Arabidopsis thaliana: one gene and its partners. The protein of the gene in region 1 interacts with the protein of each later gene in a pairwise test. Each region holds a gene or a part of one and is shown in the gene's direction. Other genes may lie near its edges.

Region 1 (4,213 bases):
TCAAAGATTTCCTAAACTGAAGCAAAATATACTGAATATTCAAATATCTATCTATTACCAAATTATAAACAAATAAGTTCGTAAACAATTTAATATTTTATTTACGAAATCAATTAAATCTTAATCACATAAAAATTAGCACAAAAAAAAATATTCAACAATTAAAAAATAACAAATCTCTGTGTTATATAAGTTTTGATACTATATTCGAATAAAGTGTAATATACCTTTTCAATTTGTATTCTTTAACTAATTTAAGCTAACAAATATATTTGCTAATCTTATACCTATCAAAACCGACAATCGTTTCTTATCTCTATAGTATTTTTGCAAGACTTTTTTGGTGGATTTGGATAAAAGTGCGTTCGGCTCATATGGTACATTCCCCTATTAAATAAATATGGTGCACTCCTATGTTATTAACTAAAATGTTTAGATTATAATTCAGAGTCATATCATTAATAAAAATAATATTAATAAATAAATGGCTTTTTGGCAAGACAGATTTAGAGAGACGGGTTTTTGAATCAACATTAATAAAAAAAATAAAATATAATTAATCCACCGTTTCAATACGGGTTAAATCTTTAATTTATTATTTTCTAAGACCACTAATATTAAACATATCAAATCATCCTAATTTAGAAAAGATTATATAAAACAAAAAATGTTATGTGGTATGTATAATGTTACTATATATAAAATTAAACTATAAAATATAAATGTATTAGAAAATGATACAATTTGCAAAACTTTTATATAAAAAATAATTCTTAAATTTTAAAAATTACTACTTAAAAAAAAATCACAGGACGGGTAAAGAAATTACAGAACGGGTTTTATTTTAGAATTGAGTTATATGGCGGATGTATTTGAATTAATATTTATAAAATTTTAAAATATTATTAATATGCTGTTTTAATAGGGGTTAAAACTTCAGTTTTTTAACAATTGTCTCATGGATTCGTGGTATAGCGTTAGTTAATAACAATTATAAATTGTAAAATATAAATATTTTATAAAATAAAATTTGCAAGTTTTAATATATATTACTTTTAAAAAATAAATCGTCCCGCGGTATACCGCGGATTAAAATCTAGTAACATCTAGTTATTTTGCTAACAACATTTCTCAAATAATAGTATAGAGATGGTATAGAATCTACAAAGTGCAAACTATCACTTATAATTATTTATCAAATTAAAGCTGATAACATTTCGTACTAAATTTCAGCTTTAGAGTTTAAAGTGCAAATTATTAAACATTTGAACATATCAATTTCTTAATATTTAACAAAGTTTCTCCTTATTTTTTTATAGTTCTCTTAAATATATATATATATATATATATATATATATATATTGTATATCTAGTACTTTATAAGTTCATAATAACATTAGAATTTTATAATTATGTAAATAGAAAAGATTATTAACTAAAAAAAGAAAGAAATTGTCCCACGTCATTACATTGTCAATCTCATATGATAGTGAGAGTAATATTTTGATTTTGCATCTATTAGAAGCGTGTAGATAAATCACATAAAAATATTACGGAGCTTACTATACAAATTCGATGAATAAAAAATGAAAGAATTCCTCGAAGCTTTTGTAGTATTGTGTACCAATAAACCCAGTCTGAATAAACCAATGGTGGAGTCTATTATGGGAAAGTGAAAAAGCAAAAATAACTGAGAAAATAATAGACCAAATAAAGCATAAGGACAAGAATTGTTGTTTTCACGAAAACCACGCAATGTAAATCATCAACATGGATTGTTTCAATATGGTATCTTCCTCTATTTAGTGATCTAGAGATTGTTTCTTGTTTTTTTTTTTTTTTGCATTCTAAGGAGAAGAGGTGATCGAAACCAACCACACGGGAGGAGCTTATGCCATTTTCCTCCCCGTGGAAGGTCTAACAATCACACGTCTCCTAATCTCGTACGTCTTCTTAGGTATGTTCTTTGCATGTTAAAGAAACTGTATCTTCAATTCTTGTCATTACATGATAATGGTTTTCTTATACATGTTTTGCTCATACCTTATAGGTTTTGAAGAATGGAAAATTTAAGGAGGTTGTCAAACCCGGGAAATTTCGGATTCATTGGAAGATCACAATCACGAGTTCCCCAAAAAAACATGGAAAATAACATTTCTCCTCCTAATAATATGCACCACCATAGTGCTTCTTTAGATGATCTTTTCACAGAAGACCAACCAGCTTGGCTCGATGAGCTCCTAAGTGAGCCAGCATCACCTAAGATTAACAAAGGTCATAGACGTTCAGCTAGTGACACAGCTGCTTACTTGAACTCAGCTTTAATGCCTTCGAAGGAAAATCATGTTGCTGGTTCGTCTTGGCAGTTCCAGAACTATGATTTGTGGCAGTCCAACTCTTATGAACAACACAATAAATTAGGATGGGATTTCTCTACAGCAAATGGAACTAATATCCAAAGAAATATGTCATGCGGAGCTTTAAATATGTCGTCGAAACCCATTGAGAAACATGTAAGCAAAATGAAAGAAGGAACTTCTACAAAACCAGATGGTCCTAGATCAAAGACTGACTCAAAACGTATCAAACAGTAAGTAGTCTTATCTTTGTCATGTGTACTTATAATAGGTTATTAAAATGTCCCACATCGATTGAGATTAAGATCTTTAGGCATTATCTGGCAATCCTTAACTCTTGAGCTAACTGTTGGGATAAGTTAGACCACATTCCTAATATAGGTTGATAAACATATTTCTGATGCGGTTTAATAATATACAATTTTATCGAAAATTATTAAAATGCAGTCAAAATGCTCATCGAGCGCGTTTGAGAAGGCTTGAGTACATATCAGACCTTGAAAGGACCATCCAAGTGCTACAAGTAAGATTCTAAAGGCTCGTGTATTTCTCGAAGTTCTTTAATTTCATTAATAATATGAAAAGATTCCTAATGTTATATTATACATGTTGGATTTTCTTCAATAGGTTGAAGGATGTGAAATGTCATCTGCCATTCACTACTTGGATCAGCAGTTACTCATGCTTAGCATGGAAAATAGAGCTTTAAAACAACGTATGGATAGTTTAGCAGAAATCCAAAAGCTTAAACATGGTATTTAACCTTTCATATCACTACTAAAATGGATCAAAATGCATTTATTTTGTTCTCTTGTAAAATTTTGATTTTGGTTGGTTAATACAGTGGAGCAGCAATTGCTTGAGAGAGAGATAGGAAACCTACAGTTTCGACGACACCAACAACAACCACAGCAAAACCAAAAACAAGTCCAAGCAATACAAAATCGATACAACAAATATCAACCACCTGTTACACAAGAACCCGATGCCCAATTTGCAGCCTTGGCAATATGATTTAGGAAATATGGATACATTGTTCAGATTAAGCTGAGCTCCTCTTGCTCTACCTTAATGTCCATACAACATAGGTGAACTTGATGTTTGTAGCCTTGAATGAAAACCTAAAAAAGCATCGTTATGTAAATCAAAATGTGGTTGCCCATATCCTCCTCTATTGCATTTCTCTCTATTTATGGCATGGTAGAGAATCTCTTGTCAAGAAACTTCATGTTATGTAATAACTTGTAATCCTTCTTATTTCATCTATTATATATATGAATAAGTAATTTTTTTGACAATTTCCTTTATCTATATATATACAAGTTGTGACCGATTCTAGTAATAAAAGGAAAAAAAAAATATATATATATATATATATATATATATAAATATTCTGTATACTATTTTATACACCAGTCAAGATAATATGAAAATTAAGATTAATATTTAAAAAATGAATTTACGAAAACATAGTAATTTGTTGGGTTTATGCAACAGTAAAAAAAAAAATCCTTTAAGCCGCCATTGTATTTTAATTTTACCCTCCATCTCAAAAAATGCATATTAATCATAGTAAGTAAAAAAACTGATATGAAATATAATTCTCATCCATATCTTTTAAAAGATTTTATGGCTACATACATTATATATATATATATATATATTTATTTTTAAATGGTCTTTCAGCATCGTCGGGAGAACTTCAAGTTGAGATACTATATATACAAACTTTACAAATTTGACAACGATTAAGAAAGATTGTATTGCGTATTATTTAGACTTTCAATAACTGATTTGCAGTATCATTTGTTATTTTGTTTAGTTTCTAACCCTAAGTTACAAAAATTAACCAATTT
Region 2 (3,545 bases), on another chromosome or scaffold:
CTTTAATACAATAATGAGGTGAAAACTTTTTAAGATAAAGATTTTTGTAACTCCACTAGGGAAAAATCATTGTATCAAACTTTAAAAAATTTCGAAATACAAATGTTAAAATAGACCACTTAGCATGAAATGTTCGTATACGTATATAGATCGAGCTTTAAGAACTTTGTACTAATTAGGATCAAACTATAAAATATTTTGCTAATATATCAAACTGTATATGATTATCTCAACAGAACCTTGTTGTAACTTGCTATAAGCCATGTTGAAAGCTGGTTCACCAGCCGGGCACAAGCTTAGCTCCTGGCTCATCGACCGATCTGCGATACGACTTTTTCAGTGGTTAACAATAGTAATAGGTCCCTCCACTCGACCTTTTTTAATGTATATAAAAAGCTAAGATGTGAGCTTTTTTTTCTGGACATTTAAAGTTGAGTTCACATGAGACCGAACCAAAACATGAATCTGGCTATAATAAAGCGACGTGTATATGTAATATATATAAGTCTTTGTCCTCTCCACTTTATTCTATATGAAATGCATGTGGCCGTTGCTCCACATTTTTTGTTTCTCATCATAAATAAGCTAAGTAAAGGTATCTAAAAATTAATATAATTATAGTATACTAAATTTAATTTTAATCAGAATTTTGTACTAGGGATTGTGTGATTTAGAAGTCTAGGCGCATTTTTCATCCTTATTAATTATCTTTCCTTAGATTGGTAAATTATTAAGCGAAAAAGCTATGTAATGCCGTATATATATTTATACAATCAATTATGATTGATGCAGCATTTTAACCAAAGAGAAAACAATTCAACATTAAGATAAAAATTAATTTATTTTCTATATTTCCATTAATTTTCTGTTGTATATTTAAACATTATTTACGAAACAATATATTTTGATTCAAGATTTAACAATTAAATTATTGAATTTTTCACATTATATTTCTAATGAAGAAACTAATCTAAAAATACTCTACATTTGATGTATCCTTGCAATCGAAATATTCAATGTTTCCGTGTAGCAAGCAAGTATATATACTTAACTTTTTGGTCATAGGTTAACTTATAGGGTTCTTTACAAAAAGCATTGGTCTCATCTCTCATGCAAAGCACCAGTTTGGTTCAGTTAATTGAAAAGTATGTTCCTTAGATTCTCTGATTGAAACGATGATTCTAGTCCCTCTCCAGTGTGTGTCCATCCCGTGTTAAAAGAAATTGACAAAACTAAAATAAAGAAAGATTGCCATTCTCTTTAAAAAAAGATTGTCTTTCTCTTTAAGAAAGATTATTAAACAGTGAACATAAAGAACCACAAATTACTCTATTCTGACTGTAAATATCATAATTAACCAGCATATGTTCACATACAATTTTTGTTTTATCTAATCACTAACTAAAATGATAAGTTTATTGAAGATAATATGGAATTGATAATTTTTTGTTTTTTTTGTTGAATCTTCTAACAAGAATGAGAGAAAACTATATGAAGTATTCAATTCCAATATGAAAAGTTAAACTTTTTCTAGGAGTGTAAAGAAATATCTCATTCTTGAATTTCTTAAAACGTGTGAAATATGGACTGTTTTCTTCATCACTAAGCTATTACTGGTTACATAATTTTCAAATTTGTTAATTTATTTTTGTTATATGGACCCAAAACAAGCTATTGGTGCCCTACACAATATTTCCTGCTTTTACAAAAGTTGGCTCTGCCAAATAAAAATTTTCAAGTTTTTAACCCCACCATAGTGCAACATGACTCAAAAGCTGTTTATACAGTATAGTCTACGGTCTTACATCGTATTTTGGAAATATGACCAAATTACCCCTTGGTTTGTCCATAAATATCAAGCTCCAACAATGCAATTCTTCCCTTTTCCCCTTCTAATTTCTCTCATCTCTCTATTAGAAAAATTATTAGCAATTATGTTGTCCACTGCACCGGCCTTTTCATTCTCCGAACCGGGTTTGGTTAATCAATTCTCGGGTTTCCAAACCGGGTTCACTCCTTGGGAATGGGATTGCTCTGATCTCTTTTTCGTGGACCAAATGTCTCTTGAACCGGCCATCCCTAGTCCTTGTTATGGTGAATCCGACACTGGTTCCGTCAAAATTAATTCCGGTTCTCATGACATGAAAACCGGTTCTGACGAATCTTGTGCCGGTTTCGTCAAAATTAATCCTCGTTGTGACGACGCCGACATATCAAACGATCTACCGTGCTCTCAAGCAGATGAACCGGACTCGGACGACACAAAACAATTGACAGCCATCACAAATTTCGGTTCGGGAGAGAATAACCATAACCGGAAAAAAATGATCCAACCGGAGATGACCGACGAGCGGAAGAGGAAGAGGATGGAGTCAAACCGGGAATCAGCGAAACGGTCAAGAATGCGTAAACAAAGTCACATTGATAACTTACGAGAGCAAGTAAACCGGTTGGATTTAGAAAACCGTGAGCTCGGGAACCGACTCCGGTTAGTTTTACACCAGCTTCAACGAGTGAATTCCGACAATAACCGGCTCGTGACAGAACAAGAGATACTCCGGCTAAGATTGTCGGAGATGCGTCGGATTCTGATCATTAGACAACTTCAACAACAGCAACAATGGGAACTACATAACCGGAGAATGATCATGACTGAACAAAACCACCCTCATCTTCAATGATAGATCAAAATATTTAAGAAGAAAAAATATCGAAAAACTTAGAACAATAACCAAAAAAAAAAAGCAAAGCAAAAAAGAAACTCTCGCTATGTCTCTCTATCTCTCTATGTAAATGAAATGAAGGTTAGGAAGAGAAAATGATAGTTTTCTAATTTTCCTTTCCACTTTCTCGTTTTCTATATGTTGTGACTCCACTACACTAGAGAAGAAGGAAAACAAAACAGATTTTTATTTTGGTTTTCTTTTTCCCACTCTCGTGTATGAGATAAATAACTTAAAGAGTTATTAAATTAATACAACGATTTACATTATTACTTAGTGGAAACTGGAAAGGCTTTATGCGCATTGACATCATGCTACAACGCCCATAATTGTTGAAAAGATACACTGTATTTTAAAGTACTAAACCAAGCCTAATAAACCGGTTGCCACGATCCCAAATACTGTAATATCACTACATAATATATCTTAATCGTTAAAATGCCTATCTCGGCCCAAATAAAGTTTTGGAACATAAAGCCCAACAATAATTTAGGTCCTCAAGTCCATTTTTGTTACGACCCTAAAAGTTTTCCCTTGATGAAAGAGCAAAGATAAACCCTAGTTTGTAACTGAACAATTAGAATAAAGATTGTGATTATATGAAGTGATTATCAAACAAATGATTCAGAAATCGGAAACGAAGAAAGAATCAGAAGAACAACGATTTTCTAATTTCCTCTTTAAGCTTTAGAAAGACGAAACAGAACATAATGAAAGAGAAAAAACAGAGCTTTTCTTTTTTTGTTTCCTGCCGCAGGACTTGGTTTCAGTTTTCAGGTTGTGTAATGAAAGTAATCGCCATTGTGTCTGTTGTTCTCTGCA
Region 3 (4,764 bases), about 15 Mb from region 1:
CGCGCTTCGTTTCTTCTTTTGTCTCAATGAACATAACATATTTAACAAAATTTTAAACGAAATGACTTTATAACAATCTCTGGTGATTTTTATAACCAAAGTTTAAAACAAAAGAGAAGGACAAATGTGGAACACGACAAGTGAGAAGGCCAAAGCGACTGCGTGATAAATCCAAGTATTGCGGCGAATGTGAAGGTCTTAGAATTTTACATATAGTCAACGATCAACCTTAAAATCGTAGTTTCTTTTGATTGCTACAAATTTTCACCCTAAATATGATTAATTTACTTTTATGTTATTGATGATGAATGATTAATATAATTACTCGAAATTGTGTGTTGTGTTTGAACGCAATTACCACAATCTAAAAATATACAAGCTCACTTGAGTTATCACATTAAAAATGTTCTTCCCATAATGTCGACATTTATTACACATTAAATTATTATTTATTTAGTGCATTAAACTGTTTTTTATGATAATCAGTATATTAATAAATGAATTTACACCCATACTTTTTTACACAAACTTCAAGTGTAACTCCACCTCTATTTACTGTACTGAGATTAGTTTATGACACCCTATCCTAATTACTTTGAAAAAAATAGTCTATCAATATGAAGTAATACATTGCATAAATCTGAAATACTTACATACAAACTGAGACCAAAAACTATTGAAGTAAAAATGATATAAATGTACCAAACTATTTAGGAAACAAGGAATTAAGAGCATTGAAATTTTCAAATCGAGACAAATAGAACATTTGGAATCCGTAATCACAGTTCCAAATACGAAGTTTCCAAAGACCTTGTCTGGTGTTTAACGTGTAATCTTGTTCTGTTAAAAAAATACTTTTGACCATACATATCAACAACATCATTTTTAGAATTATTATTATTATTATATTTTTGATGTACTAATTAATTCCATTTCTTTTCTTGTTGTCTTGCTTGCATTCATGGAATCTCCAAACTTTGATTTTTAAAACTAATTATTTCTGTCATCAAACTTGTTTTAATGGTGAACTTATACATTTTTATTATGTAGTAACGACTATTAATAAAGAGATTCCATTCAAAGTTTTGAGTATAATAACCAAACAAATCAATACTACCAATATAAACATCAGTGACGTTGACTAATTCCGCCTTTAAGAAGGTCAAACTGTAATGGAAGATTATAGATGAAGCAGTTAAAGCACATACAAAGCCAACCAAGCTCGTCCAAAAAAATTAACTTCAAGATCTTCTAACTAATTTATAATCATCAAAAAAGTAATTTACTATCTATCCAAAATCCATAATTAAATACTGTTTTTTCTTTTGAGGAAAATCCACAACTAACAAAGCAAGCAACCAGATGCCAAAATTAATTAGAAAGATATTTTTCTCTGACAAAACAAGATATCTGAATATAGTTAAATTAGTACCCTATTTTCTATTAAAAGATTATAATTTTAATAAATTCGAACGACAAGAATATTAATCAGAAGGGTAAGAAAGTAAAACTGTAAAATAAAGAATTAAAGAAAGATAGAGCCCACTACTTTAATCTTCTTCCCTCCTTATTACCCATCTTGGATCCATCTTCGATTTCAACACCTAAAAATAAAAGCTTATAATTAAAGAACCATAAAGACGAACACAAAAGAAACTCTCACATTCTCAAGAGTTTCTTTCTTCTTTCAATGGCTTTACTAACTTTCTTGCCGGAGAACGCAGAGGCGCCACAAAAACACAAGCCAACGTCTAGCAAACGAAAGAAACGCGATAATCCCACCGACCAAACGCAGACACAGAAACATAAACCGCAGAAACCGAAGAAAGCAGTACCTCCGAAGCAGCCATCTTCATGGGACCAAATCAAGAACCTATTGACTTGCAAACAAATCGAAGGGTCAAGAGTCCATGATCCTTCCAAGAACTCTCAATCTGGTCCGTCCATGACAACTAACTTATCTCCTTCCAAGCTTGGCTCGTCGTGCAGCTCCATTTGCAGCTTTAGAGACGTGGCTCACGGCAACACTCGTGTGGTTCATAGAGCTGATCACTCACCAGACGTAGGTAACTCGGCTACTCCTAACTCGGAGACTCGGCTTCTGACTCGGAAACCTGGTCAACACGGTTCTTCTTCGTCTCGGTCTCTTACATCTGGCTCAACGAGATCTAACGCCAGTGGGAGTTACACGTCATCGTCAACGACTTCGTTTAGAGCCATGCAGTTCCGTAAACTCTCCGGATGTTACGAATGTCACATGATCGTTGACCCGAGCAGGTAATGACACCAAAAATTAATTATGAGTAAGTAAATGTTCTTCTGAATTATATTTTTGTAATTTCATTTTCATGTTCTTGAATTTTAGGTATCCGATTTCGCCTAGGGTTTGTGCTTGTTCCCAATGTGGAGAAGTTTTCCCCAAGCTTGAAAGCTTAGAGCTTCATCAAGCAGTTCGTCACGCAGGTAAGGCTTTTTTTTTCCTTTTAACAAAAATTGTTTGACTTTATCACTTACCTCAAATTAATTAATTACGCTTTAGCTACAATTTTTTATTTTTTGGTGTGTGGTAGTCACATTTTTAAATTTAACCCTAAGTATCTAGTGAGATTTTCGTAAATGCGAATGGCTTGGCAAAGTAAGATTATGTTTTGTATCCTTGGAAAAAAACTTAAGATCTCAGTCCATGATTTGACTTGTGAATGATGATACAACCTTTGTTTGTTTAGTATTGATTGAATAATTAGCATTAACACATGTTTTCCGGCGTATAGGCCCTTGGATTTATCGATAGATTTACCATAATGCTAAGCAAATAATTAACGAACATGCTTTCATTAATATATATCTTAGACTTCGTTGTTTCTTAATGGAATCAAGATCTCAGTGTTATTGTCGGTGATTATATCGATCAAATAAGTTAGGATGATTTGGCCGTATGTTACAGATTGTTTTTGGAATAGAGATTCATACGTATTTTTAGAGAAAGATACAAAAGAGAATAGGAATATAACTGGAGAACAAGATATATTCTATGGTCTCCAAATCCGTCGTTTTGCTTGGAAACACTTACCATGCGATGGGACCATTGTACTATAAAAAGAAACAGCTGTCTCTGCTCTTAACTAAATTCAATGTCCCCCTGAAATATTACGTGTCATTTTTCAATTCGACAGTATCAGAATTAAAACCCCTCACCTGACAAAAACCGAATTATAGAACTGTCTTTAATGTCCCAAAAACTCAGATTTTTGTTTTGACTTGCATATTTTTCCTGATTTTATGAGCAAAAACGTTGTCGTTTAATTGCAGTTTCGGAGTTAGGTCCGGAGGATTCGGGTCGAAACATAGTGGAGATCATATTCAAATCAAGCTGGCTTAAAAAAGACAGTCCCATCTGTCAGATCGAACGGATATTAAAAGTCCACAACACTCAACGTACGATCCAACGGTTTGAGGATTGCCGAGACGCAGTGAAGGCGCGTGCACTTCAAGCAACCAGAAAAGATGCTCGTTGTGCCGCCGACGGCAACGAGCTCTTACGTTTTCACTGCACCACTCTCACTTGTTCACTCGGAGCTCGTGGCTCTTCTTCTCTCTGCTCTAACCTCCCTGTTTGTGGCGTCTGCACCGTGATTCGCCACGGTTTCCAAGGAAAATCTGGTGGCGGAGGAGCCAACGTCGCAAACGCCGGTGTGAGGACGACGGCGAGCAGCGGAAGAGCTGATGATTTGCTGAGGTGTAGCGATGATGCGAGGAGAGTGATGCTTGTGTGCCGTGTGATCGCTGGGAGAGTTAAGCGAGTTGATTTACCGGCGGCGGATGCTTCGGCTACAGCGGAGAAGAAGTCAACGGTGGAGGATAACTCGGTGGTTGGAGTTTCTTCGAGTGGTGGTACGTTTGACTCGGTGGCGGTCAATGCTGGAGTTTATTCGAATCTTGAGGAGCTTGTGGTTTATAACCCGAGAGCTATATTACCTTGCTTCGTGGTTATTTACAAAGTTTTAGAATCTTGAATTTGTAATTTTAACTTGAGAAATAATGTTTGTTTTTTGTACTTCTAACTTTTTAATATTATAGGGAGAGATTAGGGATAATCATCAACCTGCATCATAATTCCCATCTTATTATTGACTATTAAGTGTAATTCTCAGGAGTCTAAGCTAATATGTTCTTGGTTATCTCTATTATTGAAAATCATGATTAGGTTAAGAATTCAGTAGTCGAGTGGGTTAAAAATCATGATTATGAATTATGATGAACTTAACGTGTTATTTCTCAATTTAGGCTTTTTGACCAGTAAATGTAACATTTTGTTAACTATGGTAAATTTCATAGCTGTGTTCACACTTGGTGGGAATCAAATAGTGTGGGAGTGGCAGAGTGATATAATTGCTATCACATGCGTTTTCAGTAAATTATTTTATTCACCCAAGTTCTTTTCGTTATTTTTTAAGAAATATTTATAGGGAAAGCTGATTTTGTAAAAGTTGGGTATTGTATAGTTTTAATTTAGTAGTTATATAGTGTTGTCAAAAAAAGAAGAAGGAAATAGTAGTTATATGGTATGGTTCAGATAAGTTCAAAATTTACCCATAAATAAAAAAGGCTTGCACGCTGAGAGGGTGCACCATTGGAACTTTCCTCGTTGTCAGAAGCTGCTACATTGTTTATTTTTATAATAACTCGATTTCTCCTTGGAGTTGCAAATGAAATCAGAGATTTAGAATCAAACCAGTTTAATATTCGAGTTTTACAACAAATATG
Region 4 (3,846 bases), on another chromosome or scaffold:
ACGAAGAGGAGGTAATATTATGCCAATATTTCTCTTTTAAGTAACATATTTATTTCCAAACGTACAATTAAATGAAAAACGTGTTTAGTGGAACTACAACAATATCATAAATCAACATGACTTGTTTAAAATGGAGTAAAAAATAAAAAAATGTCATGATTTTGCTTTGAAATAGACAATGAAATTTTGTGTTTAATAAATAAATAGACCATCAAAATTGATGCTTATACGTAACAAAGTATTAACGCATAGAATTAATCGATAAGCACCAATTACCAAATACTAAACTAGCTAGTCTACTCTATAATCCCGAATTGTAACTTCATTCATACTATTAAAAAATATTTTCGGAGAAAAAGTCAAAAGAAATGGTTCAATCAAATGTCTCCACATTATTTTGTTAAGCAGGTTGCTGAATATAAAATAATTCGAAATCTCTACTATATTTTATCATCCTGTCTGTCTCTGGTACTACAGACCAGATGTTGAGTACAAACACGTACCATGAGGCATCGCGGTAATGCATCAAGTGTCACTTAGACTGTTCGACACATGTTTGAGGATTGCATCAAAAAGGTGGCTACGAAGTCTACAGCTTCTAGGAAGAGTCCAAGCGGACCAATTAGGATTTGTTCTATGTATGGTCAAAACCTATATAGAATTTGTTTGCTAGCGTTGCTATTATCTTTTTTTCTTTTTGTTGATTAAAAAAAACTATGTTCTCCGAATGTAAAAAAAAAACAACAACGAAGTTCTGCTCCAGATACTGTTTTAACCGGCCAATTCAGAATAAACTGATTTAAATACATGTACCCATTCTTGAAGGTCAAACGACAAAAAATATATACAAATTGTTTGCTAGTGAATTACTATTATCTTTTTTCGTGTATTTTTTTGTTGATTAGAAACTATGTTCTACGAATGTAAAGAAAAAATACAACAACGAAGTTGTGCTCCAGATACTGTTCTGACCGACCAATTCTGAATTACCTGAGTAGTCCATTTTAAGGCATGTACCCATTTTTTCTCTTTTGGGTTAAGGGTTTAAGTTTTTGCTTTAAAAAGAAGAAATGTTTTGTAGCCATATATTAATATAAAAGTGTATATTTTATAAATATCTCTAACTTATATATTATAAAGAAAAATACCTAAGAAATTTACTAGTCAGAAATTAATGGAGGCCTTCGAATTGCAGGGAATTTGTCAATCAACTCTTGGAGTACTTCTGGTTGGTTTTATTTTAGCCTTAACCAATCCGGTTTAGACCCAAGCCAAATGTCAAGATGAGACAACAGCCACATCAACATTAAAACCAAACTTAACCCAATTACAATTTGCCATTTGCATCACTCTTTGTTTTTATATTTGTAAAACACAAAAGGTGGGTCCTAATACTAACAATGTGAAAACCATACCGTACAGTCCTCAATTACGAAGTTCCAGAAGTTTCGACTATTCGAATGTGCATCAAAAAGGTCCAAAACCGTTTCCAGAAGTTTCTAATTTCTAACTTGAGTGTACTATAATAATAATTTTTACAAATATTTTAATCAAATCTAATATCATCACTCACTTTCTACTCTTCCTATATAAAGCCACCTCAAAATTATCTTACGTGGACATTACCTTCCTCACTCCATCAACTGCCATAAACGAACTTAATCCGACCAGTTTTTCAAAATCCGAAGATGATGAACTCAACTTCGGAGACTGGTTAATCGAAATCATCAAGAATCTTGTCTTTAATTTCCAATTGGGTTTTTCAAAACCCGTTACCTCAGGATGATGAACCCGTTTCTCCCGGAAGGCTGCGATCCACCACCACCACCACAACCAATGGAGGGTTTACACGAAAATGCTCCACCTCCATTTCTGACCAAGACATTTGAGATGGTGGATGATCCAAACACTGACCACATCGTATCTTGGAACAGAGGAGGAACAAGTTTTGTCGTCTGGGATTTGCATTCTTTCTCCACGATTCTCCTTCCTCGTCATTTCAAACACAGCAATTTCTCAAGTTTCATCAGACAACTCAATACTTATGTGAGTCTTCTCTGCTCTGTATTCTCTGACCAAACACAAAACAGAGCATTCAAAGCAGAGGAATGCTCTGTTTTTTTCTTTTATTTTTTTAACTTTCATTTCCCTTGTTGCTGGAAAATTACCGCGAAGTATTCTGAATGTTACTATATAATTAACTTGGTAATGGAAAAAAGTCATTTTTTACAGCAGAATCTGTTGTTAATTTAGCATTCTAGAAACATCGAAAATGTAGATTCCGTAATGGCTAGTGGAGTAGAAGAAGGTTTAGTAAGTTCCAGAAGCAAGTTTCGTGTCAACTTGCTTACTAAAATAATCAAAAGAAACAGTCAGCGATCTTATCCCAATTTCCATTGTTTATTCACTAATCAGCTTTAACGTTGCCCACTTGTTCCATTCTTTAACATATAAAAACATAGAAAGAGTTCTCACTCCAATTATTGATGTTTGTGAGAATATGTAGACTTTCAAAAGATTAGTTTTTGAATACTTATGTTAAAAAAATTACAGGGTTTCAGAAAGATAGAAGCAGAGAGATGGGAATTTGCAAACGAAGAGTTTTTGTTAGGACAAAGACAGTTGTTGAAGAACATCAAGAGGAGAAACCCTTTTACTCCATCATCTTCACCAAGCCATGACGCTTGCAACGAGCTTCGCAGAGAGAAGCAAGTGCTAATGATGGAGATAGTGAGTCTAAGACAGCAGCAACAAACAACGAAAAGCTACATCAAAGCTATGGAACAGAGGATAGAAGGAACAGAGAGGAAACAGAGACAAATGATGTCGTTTCTGGCTAGAGCAATGCAGAGTCCTTCGTTTTTGCATCAGTTGTTGAAACAAAGAGATAAAAAAATTAAGGAGCTTGAGGATAATGAGTCAGCAAAGAGGAAAAGAGGTTCTTCTTCGATGTCGGAATTGGAAGTTTTGGCTTTGGAGATGCAAGGGCATGGAAAACAGAGGAATATGTTGGAAGAAGAGGATCATCAACTGGTGGTAGAGAGAGAGTTGGATGATGGTTTCTGGGAAGAGTTGCTTAGTGATGAGAGTTTGGCTTCCACCTCCTAACTAGATGGATTTCTTTTTGGTTTTGTTTTTAGTTTCTTCTACTTTCAAGCTCATTTTCTTCTGTCACAAAAAAAAAACTTTTTCTGTTTGTTTAATTAATTTGCAGTAATTTTGTTATCAAGTAGTAGTAGTAGTAGTGTAAACAAAAAAATGGTTAATTCTTTCATATATGTGTATATGTATGTGATAAATATGATTGTTATTAACTCCATCTAAACTCTTCTCTGATCTCTTCTTACAAAGACCTATTGATGACGTTGAATGATGTCTTTGTCTGCTTCACTCTTTTTTGCCCTAAACCCTTTTTCCAAATGTGATCTCTCTTTTTCACATCATTTAATGCTATTAAGGAGTTTTGGCTTATTTGGGTCAGTGTTAAGACAAGTCCACATGAGTGAGCAATCATCCATGTCCGTGATTCTAACCTGTAACAGTGTTAATTTAGTGGAATCATGTAATATGGTTTACTCTCTCCGGTCAAAATTCTGATCTCTAGTCTTCAAGAAAATAACTTTAAAATGAGAGCAAAGACAACTATGAGCAAGAAGATTGCTACAAAGATCAAGAATCCACAAGATGGTGGAATGTCTCATGACAAAGAAGAGGAAAACTCTTTAGCAGTGATTAGCTGTTCTGTTTTCTGATCTAAAGTTTCTTCTACAGCAGCTAGTTGTTGATTGACAAAAAAAAAATCTAATCAATCTCCTATCTCCTTCCTATGTTGCCATCGCCTTGTTT

Evidence for each region.
Region 2: the proteins of AT1G35490 (region 1) and bZIP7 interact in a two-hybrid assay, tested with the Arabidopsis thaliana proteins (one large-scale study listed by BioGRID).
Region 3: the proteins of AT1G35490 (region 1) and AT1G75710 interact in a two-hybrid assay, tested with the Arabidopsis thaliana proteins (one large-scale study listed by BioGRID).
Region 4: the proteins of AT1G35490 (region 1) and HSFA7A interact in a two-hybrid assay, tested with the Arabidopsis thaliana proteins (one large-scale study listed by BioGRID).

What each region holds. Positions count from the first base shown.
Region 1 is NC_003070.9:13,059,796-13,064,008, forward strand, and holds AT1G35490 (bZIP family transcription factor), read left to right. Parts: upstream 1-1,753; 5' UTR 1,754-1,957; intron 1,958-2,050; 5' UTR 2,051-2,060; coding exon 2,061-2,590; intron 2,591-2,804; coding exon 2,805-2,880; intron 2,881-2,984; coding exon 2,985-3,111; intron 3,112-3,201; coding exon 3,202-3,371; 3' UTR 3,372-3,660; downstream 3,661-4,213.
Region 2 is NC_003075.7:17,722,037-17,725,581, forward strand, and holds bZIP7 (basic leucine-zipper 7), read left to right. Parts: upstream 1-1,602; 5' UTR 1,603-1,763; coding exon 1,764-2,681; 3' UTR 2,682-3,001; downstream 3,002-3,545. Other genes in the region: GRF2 (growth-regulating factor 2), read right to left, coding at 3,497-3,545.
Region 3 is NC_003070.9:28,427,116-28,431,879, forward strand, and holds AT1G75710 (C2H2-like zinc finger protein), read left to right. Parts: upstream 1-1,555; 5' UTR 1,556-1,690; coding exon 1,691-2,277; intron 2,278-2,365; coding exon 2,366-2,463; intron 2,464-3,309; coding exon 3,310-4,013; 3' UTR 4,014-4,224; downstream 4,225-4,764.
Region 4 is NC_003074.8:19,263,512-19,267,357, forward strand, and holds HSFA7A (heat shock transcription factor A7A), read left to right. Parts: upstream 1-1,629; 5' UTR 1,630-1,782; coding exon 1,783-2,046; intron 2,047-2,553; coding exon 2,554-3,108; 3' UTR 3,109-3,295; downstream 3,296-3,846. UniProt on the Arabidopsis thaliana protein: Transcriptional activator that specifically binds DNA sequence 5'-AGAAnnTTCT-3' known as heat shock promoter elements (HSE).